Linked DNA regions of Neodiprion lecontei. The protein of the gene in region 2 interacts with the protein of the main gene of each other region in a pairwise test. Links are inferred from orthologs where the notes say so. Each region holds a gene or a part of one and is shown on either strand. Other genes may lie near its edges.

What was found.
Region 1: the proteins of cyclin-dependent kinase 14 (region 2) and cyclin-Y-like protein 1 interact in a two-hybrid assay, tested with the Drosophila melanogaster proteins (2 studies listed by BioGRID). The link is inferred for Neodiprion lecontei from reciprocal best matches to the Drosophila melanogaster genes Eip63E and CycY.

What each region holds. Positions count from the first base shown.
Region 1 is NC_060261.1:13,525,920-13,537,132, forward strand, and holds cyclin-Y-like protein 1, read right to left. Parts: upstream 8,327-11,213; 5' UTR 7,431-8,326; coding exon 7,199-7,430; intron 7,128-7,198; coding exon 6,907-7,127; intron 6,815-6,906; coding exon 6,528-6,814; intron 4,762-6,527; coding exon 4,473-4,761; 3' UTR 2,194-4,472; downstream 1-2,193. Other genes in the region: ras-related protein Rab-5B, read left to right, coding at 257-408, 811-1,027, 1,149-1,261.
Region 2 is NC_060264.1:29,029,458-29,040,438, reverse strand, and holds cyclin-dependent kinase 14, read right to left. Parts: upstream 7,466-10,981; 5' UTR 6,599-7,465; coding exon 6,553-6,598; intron 6,335-6,552; exon of another isoform or gene 5,716-6,334; intron 5,640-5,715; coding exon 5,550-5,639; intron 5,050-5,549; coding exon 4,918-5,049; intron 3,828-4,917; coding exon 3,631-3,827; intron 3,554-3,630; coding exon 3,168-3,553; intron 2,552-3,167; coding exon 2,007-2,551; intron 1,664-2,006; coding exon 1,593-1,663; 3' UTR 1,290-1,592; downstream 1-1,289. Other genes in the region: adenosine 3'-phospho 5'-phosphosulfate transporter 2, read left to right, coding at 8,346-8,519, 8,590-8,805, 9,079-9,435, 9,525-9,869; thioredoxin, mitochondrial, read left to right, coding at 10,793-10,962.

The DNA.
Region 1 (11,213 bases), on a different chromosome or scaffold from region 2:
TGGTGTTTTTGGAATCATGGCTACAGAATGTTTATTTTTTCCGCATAAGCCATTTCACATATTACTACTGCAATAACAAAATATTAATGCGATTTAAATTTTAGGGTGTTTATAATATCCCTAATTTTAACGCTCTGTGACAATTCAAAATGCGTGAAAAATTTCGGAAAAAAGACATTAGGAATTATTTGTTACACCGTTTCGCAAATTATTATTTTTTTTCCGTCAGATCTCAAATGACACGTTTAATTTTCAGCTGCTTTTCTAACACAGACCGTATGTTTGGACGATACGACTGTTAAGTTTGAAATTTGGGACACAGCAGGACAGGAACGCTATCATAGTCTTGCTCCAATGTATTATCGCGGTGCACAGGCAGCTATTGTTGTTTACGATATAACAAATCAGGTATTACTCATGTTTATTAAGAGGATGTCGGACCTTCAAGTTCTATCTTTGTTGATAAGATCGCTTCAAACTTTGGAAAACTATATTTGCGCTATGATAAAGTGTTCAGTTCTGGAGTCCAGAGTGCTGTAACTGCAAAGCGAGTCACAATCAGCTGCGAGTATATTGACAGTATTTTTTGTCAACTTTCCCCAATCATGAAAGATAATTTTGACCGTATGCGCCATGATTTTCCTAAGTTTAGAGAGATTTTGTAGGTCAGGAGTGGGGAGAACAGTCAAACATGATTTGCTGGATTCGTGGGTAAAACAGGGAGATCTGACATTCTGTTTACTTTTAATTCAATGGGTTTTCAATACAAGATTCGGTATGCCAATTGACTAAATTTTATATCAATATTAGGATACATTCGTACGTGCTACAACGTGGGTGAAGGAACTTCAACGGCAAGCGAGCCCAAACATAGTTATAGCACTCGCAGGTAACAAGTCTGATCTGGGTAACAAAAGAGTCGTCGAGTTCGACGAGGCCCAGACTTACGCAGATGAAAACGGTCTCCTGTTCATGGAGACGTCTGCAAAAACTGCCATGAACGTCAACGATATATTCTTAGCTATCGGTAATTTCATTTCTAATATACCCAAAAATTAGTTGATTTAATCTCCCACCGAGATCGACATTTTTTGACAGTCAACGAAAATTGACGAACCTGCAAGTGACTGCTTTGCAAAATGTTTCAGCTAAGAAGCTTCCAAAGAATGAACAAACCGGCAGTGCAGGTACCAGTGGTCAAGGTCGTCGATTAGTTGAAGTAGAAGGACAAAAGACAACCACTAGCAACTGCTGCAAGTGATTTTTCACAAACAGTACGTGTAATGTATGATAATATTAATTTGTTACATATTTTTGTTGTAGCTGTTAGGTTTAATGCCTCTTGGAATCCTACAAAGCAAGCGGAAAATTTATTTGTACATTGCATTTATGTTAACTAGATACATTTTTGTAATATAATTCTTATATTAAGATGGATTTGAACTTGTTCAATCGTGTAACAACAAAGCTTCTTTCTCTCCAATTGAAAAACTTGTAAAATTATCCTCAGTCAAATCTCAATGAATTGCATAGTGAAACAGGTTGTCAAGAATTTATCGCCACAGTGACTATTATTTATAAATGGATAGCGATCAATCTTCAAAAGTAATGAGTGTATTCAAATGGTACTCCTTATATACCATTTATATTGCAGCAGCACCTCGTAAGCTGTCAAGTTTTCATTATTACAAATAAAATTTTAATTCTTCTATGTACAGTTGTTTCAATGGACAATTCCCAGCTTGCTTAAATATTAACATATCTAATCGAGTAAACTTTTTTTTCTTCAAACATCCTATGAACTACTATATAACATGTTTTGCAGAGGGCAAAAACGTTCAAATCCAAATTTTTTTTATCCATTTGCGACGGGGATTTGCGGTAGGCGGAAATATTGTTTTTACTGAAAAATAGATCTATCAGTATATATTACGGTCCTTGTCGGTATTTTCACAAATAAACGGGTACTGTTCAATGTCTCGTAATCGGTAAATTGTTATGGAATACGTGGAATCTACGATTGATGTCTAATTGCAGATATGTACCATATTCAGGAAAGATAAACAAACACACAGCGTGAATGTGTCTGCAAATGAGTGGGATGATAGAAAAAAAAAGAAACAGAAACACGAGGAAATGCTACTAAATTATAAAGAATGGGATGTATAGACACAGACATTTTTGCTCGAGCGATCAGCGTAGCACGGGTCTCTACTACAACTTTCAGCAACATCCTGCATTGTTGTTTAAGGCTTGAAAGCAGGCGGTGTTTTAATTCCCATTCGTAATACTAGCAGTAATGGGTGGTGTTCGTTATAAATATATAAATATATATAAATAAAATACATTATATAATAATGATAATAAATCATATAGGTGATATGATACATGTAATAAGTAATAGTAATAATAATAATAATATAATTACATAAATGGTAATAACACCGACGACGATTTGGGCACGCAAAATCATGTAAGATAGTGGGGAGCCATTCCTGCTGCTATATAATATATTATTATAAAAAACTTTCTTTATTAGATCGTATCGTATATAACACTTATTATCTATTCTAATATTGATATAAAATATATTGTATATTAATTTGATTGGAAGAAGATAAACATCATGATAAATTATGAATTATTATACGAGGATGAAAATAAACTTGTGAATATAATGATTTTGCAATGCGTGTGTGCTTTTTATCATATACATATATAAAATTATTATTACTATTATATCTATTATGTAGCTCTGAGGATAATTTATTAAAACTTTACACTTAATTATAAACAATATGGTTCTCAGCTAATTACCTTTTTTTCATTTTTCACGTATTCCAAATTCTTCTTCGAAGCACTCGTTATTTTCACAGTCAAGGTAAAACAAAAAACACTTAGGGCAAATTCTGTCATACTCTAGTTATATAGGCGTCAGCTCTGTAAACATAAGTGTTGTACATGATTGCCATAAAATGCTTACATACAGACGAAATGCGTATATAATTGTATATATTATTCGTAATTTTTCAACATGAGTCGATATATATGCATATAATTCGGCACATATTTACTTCTTTCTTAGATCAGTAAAACGAATATTCGAATTTTTCATTTTTTTCACAATATAAAATACGAAGTTGAATGACACACTGTGGTGTGATATTAAAATACAGGCAGGTACATTTTTTATTACTAATTTTTATTACTAGACTTCAAGCAATATGAAATCGTTTCTTTCCAATACAATAAAGTAGAAATGTATATATTTACATATATAATTATAACTTTCATCTAATAGTTTTTATGTGGAATTGTTTTCAACCGTTATGCAAGGTTTAAACCTTCAACGGTTTCTCATTCTTATTCGTCGTTGACTAATACTATAAAAACATGATGTGATCCCAATTCAAAAAATGTTGTAATATATCCAATGTGAATGATGCGTATAGTGGACCATTAAAATGATGGTGTATCCTACAAAGGGACAAATGTATAATATGTATAACGAATTCAATTACATTCACTGATTGATGATTCAATTTGATTGAAAACGAACAAAAATTACATGTATAAAATGGCAGTTTACAGGATCATCACATGATGGGGGTAAATTCATTAGATTAATGTGTAGAAATATGGGAAATTAACAAAGAAAACAGTGTTAAGTTTAGGGAGAATCTGACGTTGATGTGAGTTTTCGTCAAAAAGTTTATAAGTTTGCTTGTCAAAAATGGTTCCCGCTACTTTGGCTCATTGAAGATTATCCAAATTTAATATCACAAATTATAAAATATACCTTGAAGAGCACCAAAACTGTGCAGATGATTATATTAGGATCTTGTTGAATTTATAACACTATTCTATTGGTCACCTACCTTTGCTTGTTCAAAGCATACGATTAGATTTACATTTTTCTTTTAGATTAAAATCTGCGACAAAACAAGTATAAGTTCTCCTAATGATAATATAATATAAATGCTTAGAGTTACATATTTTTTTCCTTTTTTTTTTTAAATCTTATTATGACAGTTGAATATCACAATGTTGTTTTATTTCTAGGAGCATAAGCTCTTACATATCATATTGGTGGCAGGATGAAGCATGAAGTAAAAGAAAAATTGCTACATAGTTTGCAATGGATGGAAGATTGAAAAGCTGTATAAATGGAGATTCTACACATTCACTTCAGAACGGAATCTAGAGCCGCTGAAAAATGATTAACGAGTTTCAGTCGATATTTCAAATGCAACTTAATCGAATATGCCTATGGGGAATAAATTATACAACCAATTTAGTGCATTTGGGTAGTGGTTCAGGTAACTGGGGTGAAATTGTTACTCGTTCAAAGCAGATTTAACCGCCACAAACGTCGAGAGAGAGAAGGAGAGACAGTTTGAGCATTTTTCCACGTACGCACTTAATTCGTCCAAAGTGTAAGTGTAGAAGCATCATTATATGCCATAATGGTTTTAAGAAAGGATAGCAATGCTACGTCTCGGTCCACCTATACACACATTGTCCAAACTGGACCATTTTTTAATACCCTTACGTAATACTTCTGCCGTTACTTTGTCTTCGTATACCCTGGACATTGCCTCAAGCTTTTGTGCCTTCTCTTTGCTAAGCGGTTCACTAGGGAATGTTAGTTCATTAGCCTCTGCAAGCGTGCGGAGGTCGAAGTAGTATTTTGCGTACACGCTTGAAGGGACATTTATATTAAATTGTAGCATTTCCAGAAACTGCCTTTCCAATTCGTTCCTGCAACAAAATTCAGAAGCTGGTTTTATTTTGGGAATATATGGACAAATGTTACTCATCGATTTTGTTGAAACTTGTCATATTTGTAGACTAGTCACAAAGATTCGACATATATTTTTTTATACAGGCAATGGCTCAGTTTAGAGGGTAAAATAAACAAACAAAATCGCGTACTTATGCATACTCGTGCAAAAACAGATGTTCATTAACCCTTTCGGTACGGACGCATTCTACGTCGCGCCGTCCCCGCTGATCGAGCAGTCGCGGCAGGCGTCCGTACTTGCGGAACAACTGCAAGCGCCCGTCAGACGCACAATCCCACGCTATCTTACGCAGAGCTAGTGCAGTCGCTCGTAAAAAAAATGCTTAAAAAATTATAACATAATGTTGGGTTACCATGGTCACCGTTCGTACATAACGAGCGTCAAATGTTGGGTTACCATGGTCACCGCTCGTACAGAGCGAGCGTCAGGCATTGAGTGACTATAGTCACCGCTCGGACAGAGCGAGCGTCGGGCGTTGGGTGACTACAGTCACCGATAGGGCAGAAAGGGTTAAACGGACGTAAGATTTCACACACGGGTGTGTAAAATTTCATCTTGCGTTCCTGTAACTAAAAATATTATTTCAATTCCTGTAACTAACATATGTAATTCTTTTTCCACCACCTGATTGGAACGTTCGGATTTCAAAGCCTTTGAAGCATGCTGCTTGAAGTGCCTAATTTCCGAATAGTGCGATAAGACAACGGTATATGCACACAACTGAGATGTTCAGTTTTACATACTAGGGTTTTCTTTGGCGCATGTGCTCTTTCAAATAATTCAATATTACACACTGCGTCATTGAGTGTAAATTACCTGATCCCAATTTCACGCACTGTGAGTGGCACCTTTGGTGTTTCTCAAATCTAACTTCCTTTCACAGCTCTTACGACAGATAACGTATGTCGCATGTGCAGATCCGCGATATCTGACTCGTGTTATTACAGCTCTCATACACAGTATCTTGTGTTACAAATGTGAAAACTGGACAATTTCTAAAAAGTGTGAAGTTGGCGGCACGAATCGAAGGCAAGTGCTACGATCGCGTACGTCGAATATTGGAGTTAACATAGCTGCATACAATATACTATTTTTCAATGCCTTAATTTCAAGTTATTCGGCAATTCTTTCACAAGTTGACAAATAATAGGGGCTGTTTCACCCTCAAAGCTGAACCATTGCCAACACGAAAAAATATATACTATATTATTTATAACTGCTCTATTAGTATGCGAAGATTCAGCAAAATCTGCAAGTCACGCTAAGGTAACTTAAGTGGCTCACATCACCTACAGAGTGATTCTAACTTGAAACTTTCAATGTTTTCTTTCAACAATTTGGATTGTAGTGTTTTACTGTGCATTAAATTTAACCACACAAGACTTCGATGAGTTATTAAATGGGAAATATACATCCATGTATTCTATACATGTATGCGTGGGCCAAAACATTAAAGAGAAACTTTCCTGTTATTCCATGTGAAGCAGATCAGTCAACTTCTAGAATTTAATGCATTTTTTCTATTCTATTTCTTAGTGCGAAAAAAATGCCTTTTGCTTCCTTTAAAATTTGATATTATAAACCTTCTATTTTCTGATCCTTCTATATTTTTACCCCTAATATGCACACAAGTATTGTATTTTGCGATGTGATATTTCAGATTTCTAGATTAAACGAATTTATGCATTTAGAATCGAGTAATGTGATGGTATAAGTACGTACATGTCTTCCACAGTGATATCTTTAAGTATTTGACAATAGTCAACGTTCCACACTGCCTGATCATCCCACACCTTGGAAGATAAAAGTATGGCACCAAGTGCGATTCGCTTCCAATTAGCAGGAGTTATGTCAACTTCGGCATAAGTGAGAAGCCGTTCTAGATAAACTAGTGTTATAATAGCACATTCAGCTGTGAGCTGAGCGGCATTAAACAATGTTCTAATAAACTTGTATATTTGCTTATGCTCTGGATTATGTCTGTGATAGTCTTCAGAAACACCATCTCTCTGAAACACAAAATTCAGTTAACACACCTGCAATTTGAATAACCAAATAGATTAGTACTTGTATTAAAAGTACTCATAGCATTGTCTTTCACCGTAAGTGGGTGAAGTTTTTCATCGAATATGTCGATTTGACGTTGCGACGTTCGATTCTTAATGTGATAATATATAGCTAACGCGACACATTTAACGGTATTTTTAAGATTGGGTTGCGAAACGGTACTATCATCAAGATAGATGGTGCTACAACTGCTGCTTTTCTTCAACGTCCTTGTGTCAGCAATTTGGTGCTGACTTTTTTTCCTAACCATTCCATCTGCAAAATTGAGAACAATTCAGTGTAGCGACGTACAGATTGACACAGAATTATAGAAAAATAAAACTCACTTTCAATTGCCTGTTTAGATCGCTCCATAAAAATTGTGCCTGCACATGGATGTAGCGATGGGTCCGAGTCCCAATCTTCTGGTTCACGCTCGCTTATATGTTGCAAGTTATTCGCACTGATTTCACCCTCTGGAAGATGTTCCTCTAGCCCTCTGCCTCCGCACTCACGCCCTAATTCCTTCCGCCCTGTTTGAGGGCTTGCGTAAACACAGCAACTATTCTTATTGCCCATAACTTGATAGCTTTCTAATTTTTTAATATCTCACGACGATCTCGACGACCGACGATCTCACGAATATCTCCTTATTCTCTATACCGTTTTCTCTACTCGTTCTTTTCACTCCCTTCACGAAAACATTGAGGAGGTAAATGCTCGTAGCGCACAAGGATTAGACATAATTTGACAAACTAAATCTACATGTCAATTTGACACGATCAGCTGATGCGGGTCGTGGTGATGATGATGGTGACACGGGCGACAAAATACATTCCGTTGATTTTCATCGCGACCACTTACCGAGTCTCGTAAAACTTATTTATTCAACGCTCATTGATACTGAGTCCGGTAATTGTCTCAAGACTTCTGTTTGGCACACTTTGGATGAAACGAGCAGAAGTTACAATATAAAAAATATATGTATATATATCGTGTACACACACAGATGTAACCAATTGTAAACGGCTCCAATAACTGTGACACGCCTAACGCTGCTGCGAACACTTGCCGGCAATTTTTGAGGTTGAGTACCTCATCGGATCCTCGCTAGTATCATTTTACTGCGCATAGTAAACACGTTCTCTTAGAACAATATTAAACACCGCTTTTCATGAACCGCGGGGATGCGAATCAGTCTGTATACACAATTTCGACACGGGGGGGAGAGGTTTGTTATCTGCGAAACTTCGACGGCTGTACGAATAGTCTAATAGCATTTTTAACTGGTTGAGTTGAACAGAGTCCGGTCGGTTACTCCCATTTTCGCCGCCATCCTTTATCGAAGTGTTGAATAGATGATCTGATTGGATTTGGGCAGCTATTCCGCAGTGAATATATACTCTGTACCAATCAAAACGCTCGGATGAGGGTCATAATCAAGGGTGTATTCCGAAATATACTCGCAGTACTGCAAGTACTAGCAACCGCGTACCGAAATTGCGCGACAGCTTACTGCCGCCTGTCAGTGACGTCATGAAATTTGTGACATTGTTGACTGCGACTTCTGCGGCCTGGGATGTGAGGCAGTTGCAGTACTTGAGAGATGGCCGCGTCCTCGGTGTAGCGTTCCGATTTTACTGCGACTGGCAACTCGAAGTAAAAATGGAACGCAGTTCGCAGTTGACTGCGTGACGTCACGGTCGGCAGTACTGGAAGTATATTTCGGAATACATCCGAAAGCGAAGAACCGATAAAGCGGACCTGTATCTAACTATCGAGTCTAACTATATGAGTTACTGGAAGTAGTACCTGGTCCACACGCGGTTTAACTCGGTAAGTTCAGACAGGCTGAAGTTGTCGTGTAGACGTGCGCACTCATAGCCGCGCGGCGGAGGTTAAACTCATTTCAGAGCCTGATTAAGCCCCCGATATGCTTGGTAATATCGATAGATATGAATAGTATTGGTCGATCATAATTATTTACCAAGGTAAGAAGCTGATAAAAAATAGTGTAAATTTTGATTTGTAAAAAGGTAAGTGATAAAAAAAATTGCCATTCACTTCAAATACATGATTCCATATATTCGTAATCGTATTATAACTTTATTTCGTTTAGCTTTCAGCCGGTCACTAATGATGAATAAGAAATGGTTGCATGGTGCACCGTTATGTTTCTATTATCACTTTAAATCATTTTTTAGATCTACAACAATAAACGACGGCAGAAAGAAAAGGAAGGTTTTCGGTAATGATGAAACCCTTTTCTTCTCGGAGTCGATTATTCCGATATCTATCGATATTTAAGTACAGCGTGTAGACGCAACAAAGTATGCTTGTTGTTTAGTCGGCTAAGTTAAGTCTGGCGTGTAGACCAAGTATAGAACAGTTTTGATAAACCGAACTCCTGAGATTTTGGTTACTTATAACGTCTATCATATAATATCTTTTTACTGCTTTAAAACTATGTTACTTTATTTTACTGCAATGAGCTGCAATATTAAACACTCAAGTGGTGAACAGAACGTGACACGCCTTCTACGTATAAGTTATGTAACACTCCTAAATAAACAATAGCATTTCCATTTGATTTAAGGTCGTGTTAGCTATTACAAAGCTTCAAAGAATGCTGTTGATAATCAGACCTTGCGTGTGAATCATGTCAACCTTTGATAAAGCCGTATTTTAGGTGATATAGCGCTTCCTGGAAGCGATGCAAAACAGTACTCATGTCGCATGTCGTACTAAATATATTAAAACATACTATTTTGTACTATAAATTGTTCTATTCCTCGTATTATCAAGAATATTGCTAATGAACCCATAATTGAAACTTACATTTGTTCGCGAGTCAGAATTAATGAAGTATATTTTATCCATATAATCATTAATAAATAATTTTCTTTGCATCGATAGTTAATTAATTTCTTTAATTTTTATCATCCTTCTAGTTAAAAAATTTGAAGTAAGGTAAAATCCGTACACTAGAATATTCTGTTTCATTTATGAATCAAATTCCATCAGTTGAATTTACTGGAACATTTTTTCCAAACTGCTTCCATTCAAATATTTTGTGTCAATCTGCAAGGTCTAACTGGTCTAACTTTTCAGTTTGTCCGAAAAAGATCGGCTCCGCTTCGAAGAGAGAGCTATTGAGTCAGGGATGAAAGCGCATGCGCACTGACCTTGTTTCTATTAACTTGCCATTGTTAAGCTAACGATAAGAGAGCAAGCAGCATAATCAAAAATTTCTGACGTAGGAGACACAGAGTACCTCTAAGTTGGGCACAATTCAGAACCACAAAAAATTTAAATTAATGTTAAATAAAACTTTATTGTATTTTGAATGGTTTCGAAAATTCTGAGAACTAATTTTTAGTTGAAGATTAGAAGATATGATAATAAGAAACTTCTATAATATCATAACTTTTCGAAATATTTGTGCGAGCTTTCCATAAAATATATATCACTCAGAAAATGGGAAACGTAAATTAAGTTTTAAGTCATTGATATCTCATGATTTTGAATAATCTGTTTGCTTGCATTTTTGTATGAAGCACCAGCGACGTTTATTATGTGTATATTTACGCCCAACCCTACACAGATTCGAAAAACTTCTAAATGACGATTACCTTTTTTGAGCTGCTTACAAGGCATCTCTTTCAGCGATTTCAGTGATCTCTTTCCAACCAGTATAGTGTATGGAGATTTCGACGATGGCTAAGTTAAACGCGGCCTTGGGAACCGTAGTGCCTATTCCAGCATTCAACTCACGCGAAGATTAGATAATTCACCAACGTACAGGATGTTTCAGTAAAATACTGATAACAATCAATGATAAAAGCTTCGAATCTGTTGTTGTTTATTTCTATAGAGATATTTTTGAAACGTACAATTTTTGCTCTGTTAAATAATAGCATCGTGAGATGGATATAGAAAAATTAGTCAACAGGTAGTCCTTACGTAAGTCTTGTCTGTGTAAAATAGATAAATTATAATTTAATGCTGTATTTTCATGAAGACACAATATCATTTTCAATATATATTGTGACATAATATAGTCATACACATAATAAAACCTCACACATTAACGGTAAACAGAAATATGCCAGTAATTCGACAAATATCTAGAGATAGTGACACTTTTGAAACTCGGTGTTTACCTACTCATCGTCAGTCAAAAGTACCTAACTTGTAGTTACGCGTGTGTACATAACATACTATGATGTAGAAAATTAGGCTAATTGTAAAACGGCGTATAACTATACATATTTATACGTATTAAACTGCAGAGGAGAGATGACCGCCCACAACAATGTAGGCCGATATGAGAATTTCATTGAGCCCACGTGAATGCCTACC
Region 2 (10,981 bases):
TTTACAGAACCATTCTTTCCTATGCATAACCAGCAATATCATAAAGATACAGTTTTGTTTTGAAATCCCAAACTACTTTTTTCATGTTATATTCTTTTTCTTCATATCCACAAATAGATGTGTTATCTTCTTTTTCTTTAACAATCGTTTTCTCACAACATTTACTGTAATGTTGTTCTGTAATAATTATAAGGGAAGTTACCAATACCTGATTTATTATAGAAAATGTTTGTAAGAGATGCGAAAGCTCAGTATTTGATCATAGGATCAAGGATTGATGTGTGTGTTACAATTTATTACAAAGTCACATTTATTAGTTTAGCTCAGCTATTTCAGTGTCATGAATAATATAAACTTGGAGTTCTATATACATTCTACCTTACGCGTCTGCTGTTGTTAATGACAATAGTAATCATAATAATGTTCAATCCTTTTGTTCAATATTATTTTTCTGTTTATTCAGCAAGTTACTCATTTCTTATTCTTGCATTTTCATCATCACCATCATTATCATAATCATCTCATCATCTTATCATAATCATCATAATCATCATCATCATCATCATCATCATCACCACCATCGTCTTTCTCTCGTTGATATTTTTTATCAAAGTGTGCTGCAAATCGGTATAAATATAAACTACTAAGGGAGGGTAGGGAGTAGGTATAATAGTATATGTATCGCCGTATTAATCGATAATAATCCGTCGATATCGTAACTTAGATAAAATTTAGAAGACGTGTAACACTTTCCTTGGCTCTGTATTTATGAATGTGTGTATGCATGTATGTTAGTACTTAATAATATTGACACATAGCCACTACAATCACCTCTTACTTATTACCCGGTTCCTACGATAGAAATAATTGATCAGAGTAACAAAGGTGGTTTGTCTGGCCCAAAAAGCGTTACAAATCCTCTAGGGTCTTCCTAATATCGTTATAATTATTCATTTAATTTTATTTATTTAATCATTTATTTAATTATATTCTCGCTAGTCAATTGCCGCCATCCCCATGGCCTTGGATGGTTCAAATTGATGGGACATGGGACGACAGGCTTTACTTTTGATTGGTGTCAGTCTAAAGCTAGTATTTGGACGAAGTGCGAGGATGGGTCGTGCGTGCTTTGCTTTCTAAATTCAGCGTGCATTTCTGACACTATAAATTTAGTATTCTTTTTTCTTTTCATTGTTTAAGTATTTTTTTTTCGAGAAAGAAATTTCCTTTATGTAGTGTAGGTAGTAGGTAATTTTCTATTTTATGTTTTCGTTTCCCTTCACTTTTACTTTACGTTAAAACTTAGGGTTCTTTTTCGTTAGCTTTTTTTTTTTTATATACGTATTCTTCAGACTGGTTTTTTTTCATCGATTCATTTATCATTTGATTGCAATAATTGTTCTCAGAAAAAAACCATCATCGATTTGTGGTATGTTGGAAGTCGAGTGGCCCTAAAAGAGGCAGAGAGAGAGAGATATAGAGAGAGCAGGCAACGCACTGGTGCCTATATTTCTGAACTTGTAGATTGGCCATTACTTCTCCTAATTTCTTCTTATATTTTTCTCTGTTACAACTCAACAATTATGCTAGTCTCAAGTCTTCAGAGCAGAGTGCCGCGATTCCGTGAATAAATGGCAGCCCTCGACACTAAATATGGACACTTCTGTAAGAAAGAAGAGAGTTTTTTACCATCAAAATAAATGAATATATCCAACTTGCCGACAAAATCAAGTTTTCTCACAGGGTACTCTACCCTCTTTATTACGAAATTTAGACACCTAAATATTACCCAGGGAGATTTTGCCTATTTTACATATCCATTCTGTTGTTATAAAGGACAGAAAGTATTGATTCATCTTGCAAATTCAGATAAATGTTTCGGGAATAAGAATTTTGCATAACATGTGTTTAAATTTCATTTTGAACTTCAAGTTTAGGGGTAAAAACTACCTCTTTATAGATTGACAAACTGAAAAATCCACCTCAGGAAACAAGGACCAACTTACCGTCAGGCAACTCGTAAAGTTTTGGCGGAAGTGTCGCAAAATAAGGATGCCTAAGAGCGTCATCAGCGCCTATCCGATCATCTGGATTTAGCTGTAAAAGTGCGGAGGCCATATTATCACCTTCAGGAACATCGTACAGCCTGGGAAAGGAAAGTCCCAATTTTTGCAATGGATAAAATGCTAGTTTGTGGGCTTGGTATCCACGTAGATGTGTGACGCCTGGCCAACTATCTTCGGTCGGTGTTCCAAGAACTCTGAATATCTTATCGAGTTGATCATAAGTATCTCGGACACCTGGGAAAGTCGGCAGCCCTGTCAACATTTCTACAAATATGCATCCAACGCCCCACATGTCCAATGAAGTCGAGTACTCCGTCGAACCGAGCAGCACATCTGGCGGCCTGTACCACAGCGTCACAACCTCATGTGAATAGGTATGCGACGGTACTGACTTTGCCCGAGCCAGACCAAAATCCGCCAATTTCAATTCGCCTATTTCACTTATCAACAGGTTTTGGGGTTTCACGTCACGGTGCAGTACTCTTCTGTAATTTGTTATTATGAACATTAGTCACATTTGTTTTCTTTGTTGTATTCGTGTACAGGATATTGACTGTAATATCATGCTGGGATATACCCTTGGAAATTCCAGATTTTCTAAGCGGAAAATTTAATTCTTCCAAGACATTTATTATCCTGTACTCAAGTAGACGTATGCGACAAAATTGGTATTATTATACCACAACAAAAACGTTTAAAAGCAGGGAACGGATTCAGGTTCTTTTTTAATTCTGTACTCAGTCAAAATACAAAAATCGTAAATGTAAAATACTATTTATCCACCGAATATCTAGCTTGACCTAATAACATACGTCATTATCAGTTGTATGAAGTTTTCATTTCTAGAAATCTCATATATTTTAAATCAATCGAGACTACGCAATAGATAAGATACTGGAATATTGTTGCGAAGTACAAATTCTAATTTTTTTCCCACATTTTTCTCTCCCGTTAATAATTTGCACAATTCATCGATACCCTGAATCACTATGTAAAGCAATCTACTTGCTTTGCAAAGTATGAAATTCATTTTCCCTGTGAGAAAGTAAAATCTGTTCGTTAAATCAAAACTCTTCTCTAACAGAGAATGCAAGAACTCACCTGCGATGACAATAAGCTAGTCCTCTGAGTAGTTGAAATAGGAACAACCGAACGTTTCGCGGATCAAGGCCCCCTCCTCCGCTGCCGTGCCTCTCCATGTACTGTGACAAGTCGGTGTGAACGAATTCGAATACAAAAGTAAGAGTTTCACGAGTGTGAACAATATCATGGAGTGTAACTATATTGCTGTGTTTGAGCTCCTTTAAAAGGCTGGCCTCACGAATGGCAGTGAAAGGTGCACCTTCCTCTTCCTGTAGTCTAATCTCTTTAAGAGCGACAACCTGGTTTGTCAGATTACTGTACCCTTTGAATACTGTAGCATAAGAACCCTCTCCAAGCTGCTCCAGTTTGATGTAGGCATCTGATTTACCAAACGGCGAATCTCCCTGTGAACATGAAGAATATTTAAGGTTTCGAATAAACAGTTTCATCGAAGTTATTGACAACAGGTGATACAACTTACCCCGAATGCAGAGAAACGTTTTGCCCGTCTCGGGGGAGGGTCGGGCCCTAGGAAAACCTCGGATTTTGGACGAGGAGGACGTCGATTCCGTAGAACCACCCTTGCCTCTTCCCTTATATCTACATCGAGGAGCTTAGAATCACTAGAAACAGAGAGCTGTCGATGCACTCTCTCGTGTTCACCGACACCCGCCCACTCTGCAACATTGAAAATAATTTTTAATTAGCCCAACAGGTTTTCGTTTTCATCGCTAACCAAACTTAGAGAAAAGAAGACAAAGACTTAATGTGACGAAATATTTCATTTTATTCTACTTGCTCTGTTTGACTAGTTGACATTGTAAATAGATATATATATATATATACATATATATATCTATTTATATTTATATATCTGCGATCTACCACAAGGCAACTGAGTAAAAGAAAATAATATGTTGCATATTCTGCGAAACAGATATTTCTATTTGTAGATTGTATAGCCCTTCTTTATGACCCGCTTCTTATCATTTGTATACAGCAATGGTAAATAGGTATTATTTTTAAAAAGCGGGTATTTAGCATGCGTGTATTAATACGAACGTGTCTTGTCTTTGCCGTATAGTAATGAAGCAATCGAAAATATAATTAAGCATGTTTAACGAAAATTATCACGTTAGTTAACAGTTTGACTCAACTCTAAATCAGCTCCAGCGCATGTATGTATGTATGTATGTATCTACCTAGCTATAGCTAAAAACACTTGTGGTAACAGAATTTTAACACCTTGTCTGATATCAACCAATATAAAGATGCACACGCTGTTATCGAGTGACTTGGTAATTTTACCAGACATGTTATGAGAATTTGTTTGCAGCTATTATGACTGCGTCATAAGCATTTACGTTGAAGCTTTCAAGTTCATATTACAATGACCATAGTGTTATTTTATAATTGAATAGAATAACGATAGAAGTTTCACAGGTATGCTAAATGTGAAATGACGTCCAACATTTTACTCAATACAAGTGATTGATAACATCGACAACGTGATGAGATACAAGCCGTGATGTGTGTACGATTATCCACACGTTTGTTGGAGATACAAACATCATGATGAGAATCGATCTGTATTCTACTTGAATTTTGCGTGTCTGGCAGTACAACAGAAATAATTTTTTATGCCTCTAACAGTAAATGATCAAACAAAGTAATATAAGAAAATGAAAATCCCTTGAATGTTACAAGTGAAATTTGTTTTGCAGATCATTTTTATGCAAATTTTTCAAATTTTTAAAACTTTACTAACCATATCGTCGATCTTTGTCGGTAGGTATGTTACCATTTGGCTCTAAACGATCGAGAAATTCTTCTGAATACCCGTTATACGGTAACTGGTGTTCCCTTGTGGCAACATCGTCTGCTTCTTCCTTAGATATTGCTGGAAGTAAAAAGATGATGAAACATAATAACTGGGTAACATTTCTGTCCACAAAATTCTTACAATACACTTATATTTGTTTTTAACTCCTTATGCTCCAATTGGCCACTTCCGCCTACCCTGCTTATGAATATTTGCTATTGCCGGGATTATTAGATTTACCAAGTATGGTAAGACCGCGTACTTGCCTCTTTCCTTATCAGTTTACACTTTATTTACTGTTAAAACAATCCACAGGAAACTAATCATGATATAACTGATATGGTAGCAAAACAATATTCAACCTATCAAAGAATTCTACTTCTGAGGCAGCATTTATTCTTGTATCAGACCTTTCCATGTTTTATTATATATTTGACGCACGTCAATCTGTAAAAGGAATAATTTAACAATAAAATTCATTGGAACTAATTTCAAAATAGGAAGTGGCGCTGGTTAAGGAGTGTGCATACGAAGTGTGACATTAGTCATATCGATAAGAGTCATAAAACGGTACTTACAAAGTCTGCCAAAACTATGGCTAAGGCGTTTCTTGAGCTTTTGGACTCTGCTTAAGGCGCCTCCCTTCTTTTCGCGCATCGTCACAGAACCTAGATACGATTAATAATTAATTGTAATAAGCAACTGTATCGTAAGAATACAGAATGTAAATTATAGCACGCATACCGAGAAATGACAGAGAACTACGTCATATGAACGACTCATCGTACCGCTTGACCATCACACAAGCATTCACTATACACAGTGACGTCATTCACCACTTGCACAAACGGCATGCCAGTGCTCTTCCCCCCGCCCCTGCCCTCAATCTTGATAACGTTAAGAGAGCTGAATAGTCCAGTCCAATTTAGTGCTCGACAATAAATCGTAGGTGATATGAATTATGAAAATTAGCCTGTATCATGCCAAGCAAAGTTTAATAAATCAATTGTCACGTTAGAGATTTGTTCCTCTAACAATCAATCGGTATTCGATACTACGAGATGACAGAACGCGATCAAGTCTGTCGCATTGAAATTTTATGTGTGAGTAGAAAAACACACGCGAGAAGCGACGGCGTCCTTTTGACGTCTAGTCAATCGAGCGACGGCAAATGTTTTTTTACGGATCTTGTTAAGGTTCGCGTGAGTTTAAAGGTATTCGAGAAATGCCCTGGCTGGCCGGCTGTCTCCTTCTCAAGTCCAGTCACCTAGTCCAGTCATCCACCCCCGCATTTTACGGGGCACTTGACGTCCGTCTAGTTCTGTTTTCCCCCCTCCCGGCCTTTCGCTCGTTGCCGTTGTCGGTGACGGACAAAGGGCAAGGAGGTATAAAAAAAAAAAAGAAATTAACCGTTGATTTTAGCAGATTAGCGGGACGGTAAATAACGATCGAAGAAGAATATATCGAGAAAACAATACAGAAAAAAAAAAAAACAAACAACACACGACTATCGCAGCCGGGAAAATTGCAGGAAACTCGGTCGTGCTCGTCGGCAAGGTTCGCCAAGTGCGGTAGACTTACCTTCTTTGCTTTTCGAGGCGACTGAGCCCTTATCTTGACAGTACATGATTATTCATTCACAAACATGGGTGGGGACACATCAGGTTCCGATTCTCACCGACGAATTGAGCCGATGTTGAAATTTGGTAAAAAGTCACAACACGTTAAACCGATCGCCATTAAAATTTCCTCTCTCCGGCTTAGCTGATTTACTTTGCTTTACTTCATTCTATTTTCTCACGACGTTCACACACTCGCGATGTCAAAGGACGGACACTTTTTATCGAGACTGATTATTGTTACATATTACTTTTTTCTTAGCAAGGAAATTCTCCCTTTTCTTTCTCTCACTCTGTCTCTCTCTCTCTCCTTCCTTCCCGACTCCTTTCTTTCTGGTATAATCCGTTAAGCACGGATATTCGCGGATCTTCTACTGTCCCACGCTCGAGAATTAACTGCTATCTCGAGTGAACGATCATTGGACTTGATATCTCGAACACGAAGCTGACCCCAGCTTCTGTCGATTCTCCCGAGCGGTTGTGATGTGTGCCGTGGGTGCCGTGTGGCTACACAACAGAAAAGTACAAAACTGACCGAGCGACTGCCCCCTGCATCGCACTGTTACCACCTCAAAGTGCAATCGTTTAAAAACCCGAAACTTTTCTTAAGAAGAAGCAGTAGCGAAAAAATATTTCTAGTATACGCTCTGTTTTAACCTATCCGTCGTTAGCCGAAAACTTGCACGCACATTACACCGACGAATTACCTCCTTCCCGCCTTCTCTTCACACTCGAATACCTGATGTTAATTTAAATGACTAATGTTAATCCCTTGTAAATATGACTTTTAACTCCGTAAAAAAATTTCGACCCGTGAATAACGATATCGAAGAAGGAGCAAACTTCACTCGACAGCTTATACTACTCGAGCGCTCCGTGGCACCGTTGAATATGAATATAAGAGAGTTGACTACCATAATATCTTTCAATCATGATTTTCTTTGCTCACGTTGGCAGCCCTGAATCACCCGGGACCTATACTACGGAGAAGAGTTAACTCTAGGCAATATTTGATTCCATCTTCCAGACGAAGTGCCGGTCGGTAATTCAGAAGTTTGTACACTATGTTTTTAATTATTTTTTGCATATTTGGATCGTTTTCAAACTTAGAATACGTCAAAACTTCTGGAAGTTACGCCCTGTTTTAGAATACCCAACAGTTTCAACATATTAATTATTCGGTGAACCAGAAACTCAACGCCTGTACCTTTTCAACGTTTCAAAAAAATTGGCAAGTATATTATTGTCACCTAATGCATTGGCAAACTAATCGCATTCAACGAGTATTGAACGCTAGGGTAATTTGCCAGATGCATGCGTGTCCTTTTCTATCGTAAGTCCGTAAAAAAGGATAGAGACTCCGCGAATTTTGCCTACGACCTTAGCTCACATTTCCACCTAATCGAAGGGTATGCGGAAGCGATGAGCGGCGTGGAGCGGCGGCGGATCTGTGCGACGTGCAACATTTGTATGTGCGCTACGGTACAACTGTCAAAATAATAGGGAATGGAAATTATGTAAATTACATTTGTAAATTATGTAAATACAGCGTATTATACACACATACGTAACACGTGTCAGCGAGTTATGAATGCTCTTGTTAAAAGCAAACAATCGGTTCAAGTGTTGACGAAAAATATGAACACGCTTGACGTTCAGTTGATTAAAATCTGAGAATCTCTTGAACAGCTCTCTTTGACGTTGCCACGAAGTGTCACACGCTCGTATACGGCAACTTGATACCCGCTCATTGCAATGGATTTTAAAACCGTACACATAGAGAATTTGAACAGTAGCCTAAGAAAACAGGGCGATAAAAGGGAGATCAAAATTTTGTGCTTTGATTTAACTAACGCTAGCCAGAAGGCCCAACTTCTATGGTGCACCACTGGGGTTTTCGTTTTTTATCTTTTATACGGATATTTACAGGTAACAAACTATTTTCACAAAATGCATAATATGGGTTAGTACCTTTTGATACAATTTTCATACTTCACAGGAGCGGATATTTACCCTCGATGGATTCCAACCGTTCGGTTGGTACCTCACTCTCATCCAATTTGGATATTATACAATTTTTGGATGGATCGAATGTCGGATAAAAGGAGTCACTCGAAGAATACCTTTGGGCACTTATTTACTACTTGCTCTCCTTACCCTTGGCACTATGGGATTCTCTAATTCCTCATTAGGATATTTGAATTATCCGACACAGGTAAAAATTAATGCAAGATTGACTGACAGCCAGTAATTCTTTTCCTCGGTTGCAATTGCATGTCCACTATTTAGCTTCACTCAAGTTGAACTCAACTGCTGAAAGAATTTATGATAATAGTAACTCTTTTTTCAGTGAAATATTGTATCAAATGTTTTATCGAATATTGGCATATTTGACTATTTTTTGAGAGAAATAATCATCTAACAATTTTGTGATTGCAAAGCAAATAACAATTAACTTTATAAAACGTTTGTGAATTATGTCCTTTAGGTGATATTCAAATGCTGCAAGCTAGTCCCAGTCCTAATAGGCAGTATCTTGATACAGGGCAAAAAATACGGCCCCTTGGATTTTCTCGCTGCAATTCTGATGTGCATAGGCTTAGCGCTCTTCACAGTTGCCGACAGTATAATTTCCCCTCGATTCGATCCAGTCGGCATCATGATGATCAGTTGCGCCCTGTTATGTGATGCGGCTATAGGAAACATTCAGGAGAAGGCCATGCGCGAGCACAAGGCGTCGAACACTGAGGTTGTCCTATTCTCATACAGCATTGGATTCGTCTACTTATTCCTGATACTGTTGACAATATCCGACCTACAGACGGGTGCTTCTTTCTGTGCCGAGGTAAAAAAACATTCAACCCAATTTAAAGATTGTTGTGGATGTTGTTACTCTTTTTGGTTCATTTTTATATATATTATTACTTGTTTCAGCATCCTATTGAAACGTATGGACTTGGCCTGCTCTTTTCACTGTCCGGTTACTTGGGTATACAGATTGTTTTGACTCTGGTCCAATGCTGCGGAGCATTCGTTGCAGCAACTGTTACGACATGCAGAAAAGCGATATCGATTTTGATTAGCTTTATGTTCTTTTACAAACCATTCACCTTCCAATATGTGTGGTCTGGCCTGATCGTCGTTCTTGGAATCTACTTGAATATTTACAGCAAGAAACGAGGAGGGACTAAAGGTGGCTTTAGAGAATTATGGATAGGACTTAAGCAGTGTTGGATTAAGCACAACCGAATACAAAGACGATTACTGACTAATGTTTAATATTCCTACCAGTAACGAGGCAAACAAAGTTTTTTGTTCCTATTATGAATTATAATTATTATTGCTCAGTCAAATTATTTTTACTTTTTTCAATTCCTTGCTTCTCCAAATTCCTGCAAATCCGAAGACTCGATTAAAGTAGATTATTTTATTTATTAGAGATTACAAGACCAGCTATATATAGGTATATATGTGTGTGTGTGTGTGCGTGTGTATATATATATATATATATATAAGCTAAGATTTCAGTAATTTCCAGAGAAATAATTCCGGTATTATCAAGAATGAAAATGGAATGGAAAAGAAAATTTCGAAGTCCGTGTTTCGTATTTAGTATGTGATTTATAAGAATATTCGGAACCCCAAGTTAGCAAGCGGACGGTTGCGGCCTCACCCGTCTTCCCGCCACCCTGCCGCTCGTTGGATGATAAAAAATCTCGAACTATTCCACGTGCTTACATAATCAAATTTCAATAAGAATATAACTTATAGATATACAATTAAAATAAAAACAAATGTTCAAGTAACAAAATTCTATAGATATACCTAAATATTAATGAACAAATTAAGGAAAATATTTATTCCAGGACGGCGTACTTCTCGATTATTTGTTTAATCTAAAGCTTCTTTTTTTTTTAAATTAACAGTAGAATTTCCTCCAAACTTCAAAAATGGTTACGTAAGAAATTACTTTATTTTCACGATGGCGAAATGTTGGTAGCAGTGTCAGGGATCCAACCCGCAAATCGCATTATTCATCGTTCAGATTCAATCAAGAACTCAGGTGATTTGATGCGTCTCGTAGACAAATACCGATACATTTCAAATTACTCGATAGAATACTTGGCAGCGATCACCTGCCATTATCAATTAATCGCATACTAAGTTGATCGTCACATCATATTTTATTTCTAGGCTAAAACATGCTACGCGGTGGAACCAGGATCTTGTGTAACGCTGTCAAACGAGGCTTTGCAAATGCTCCGGCTCAAGAACCCGCCGTTCAGGCTGCTTTCACTGTTCAAGATCCAAAGGATTTCAACGACCGCGTTAAGAACTCGAAAATCCCGGTGATCATCGACTTCTTCGCGACGTAAGTCCCTCAGGACAGT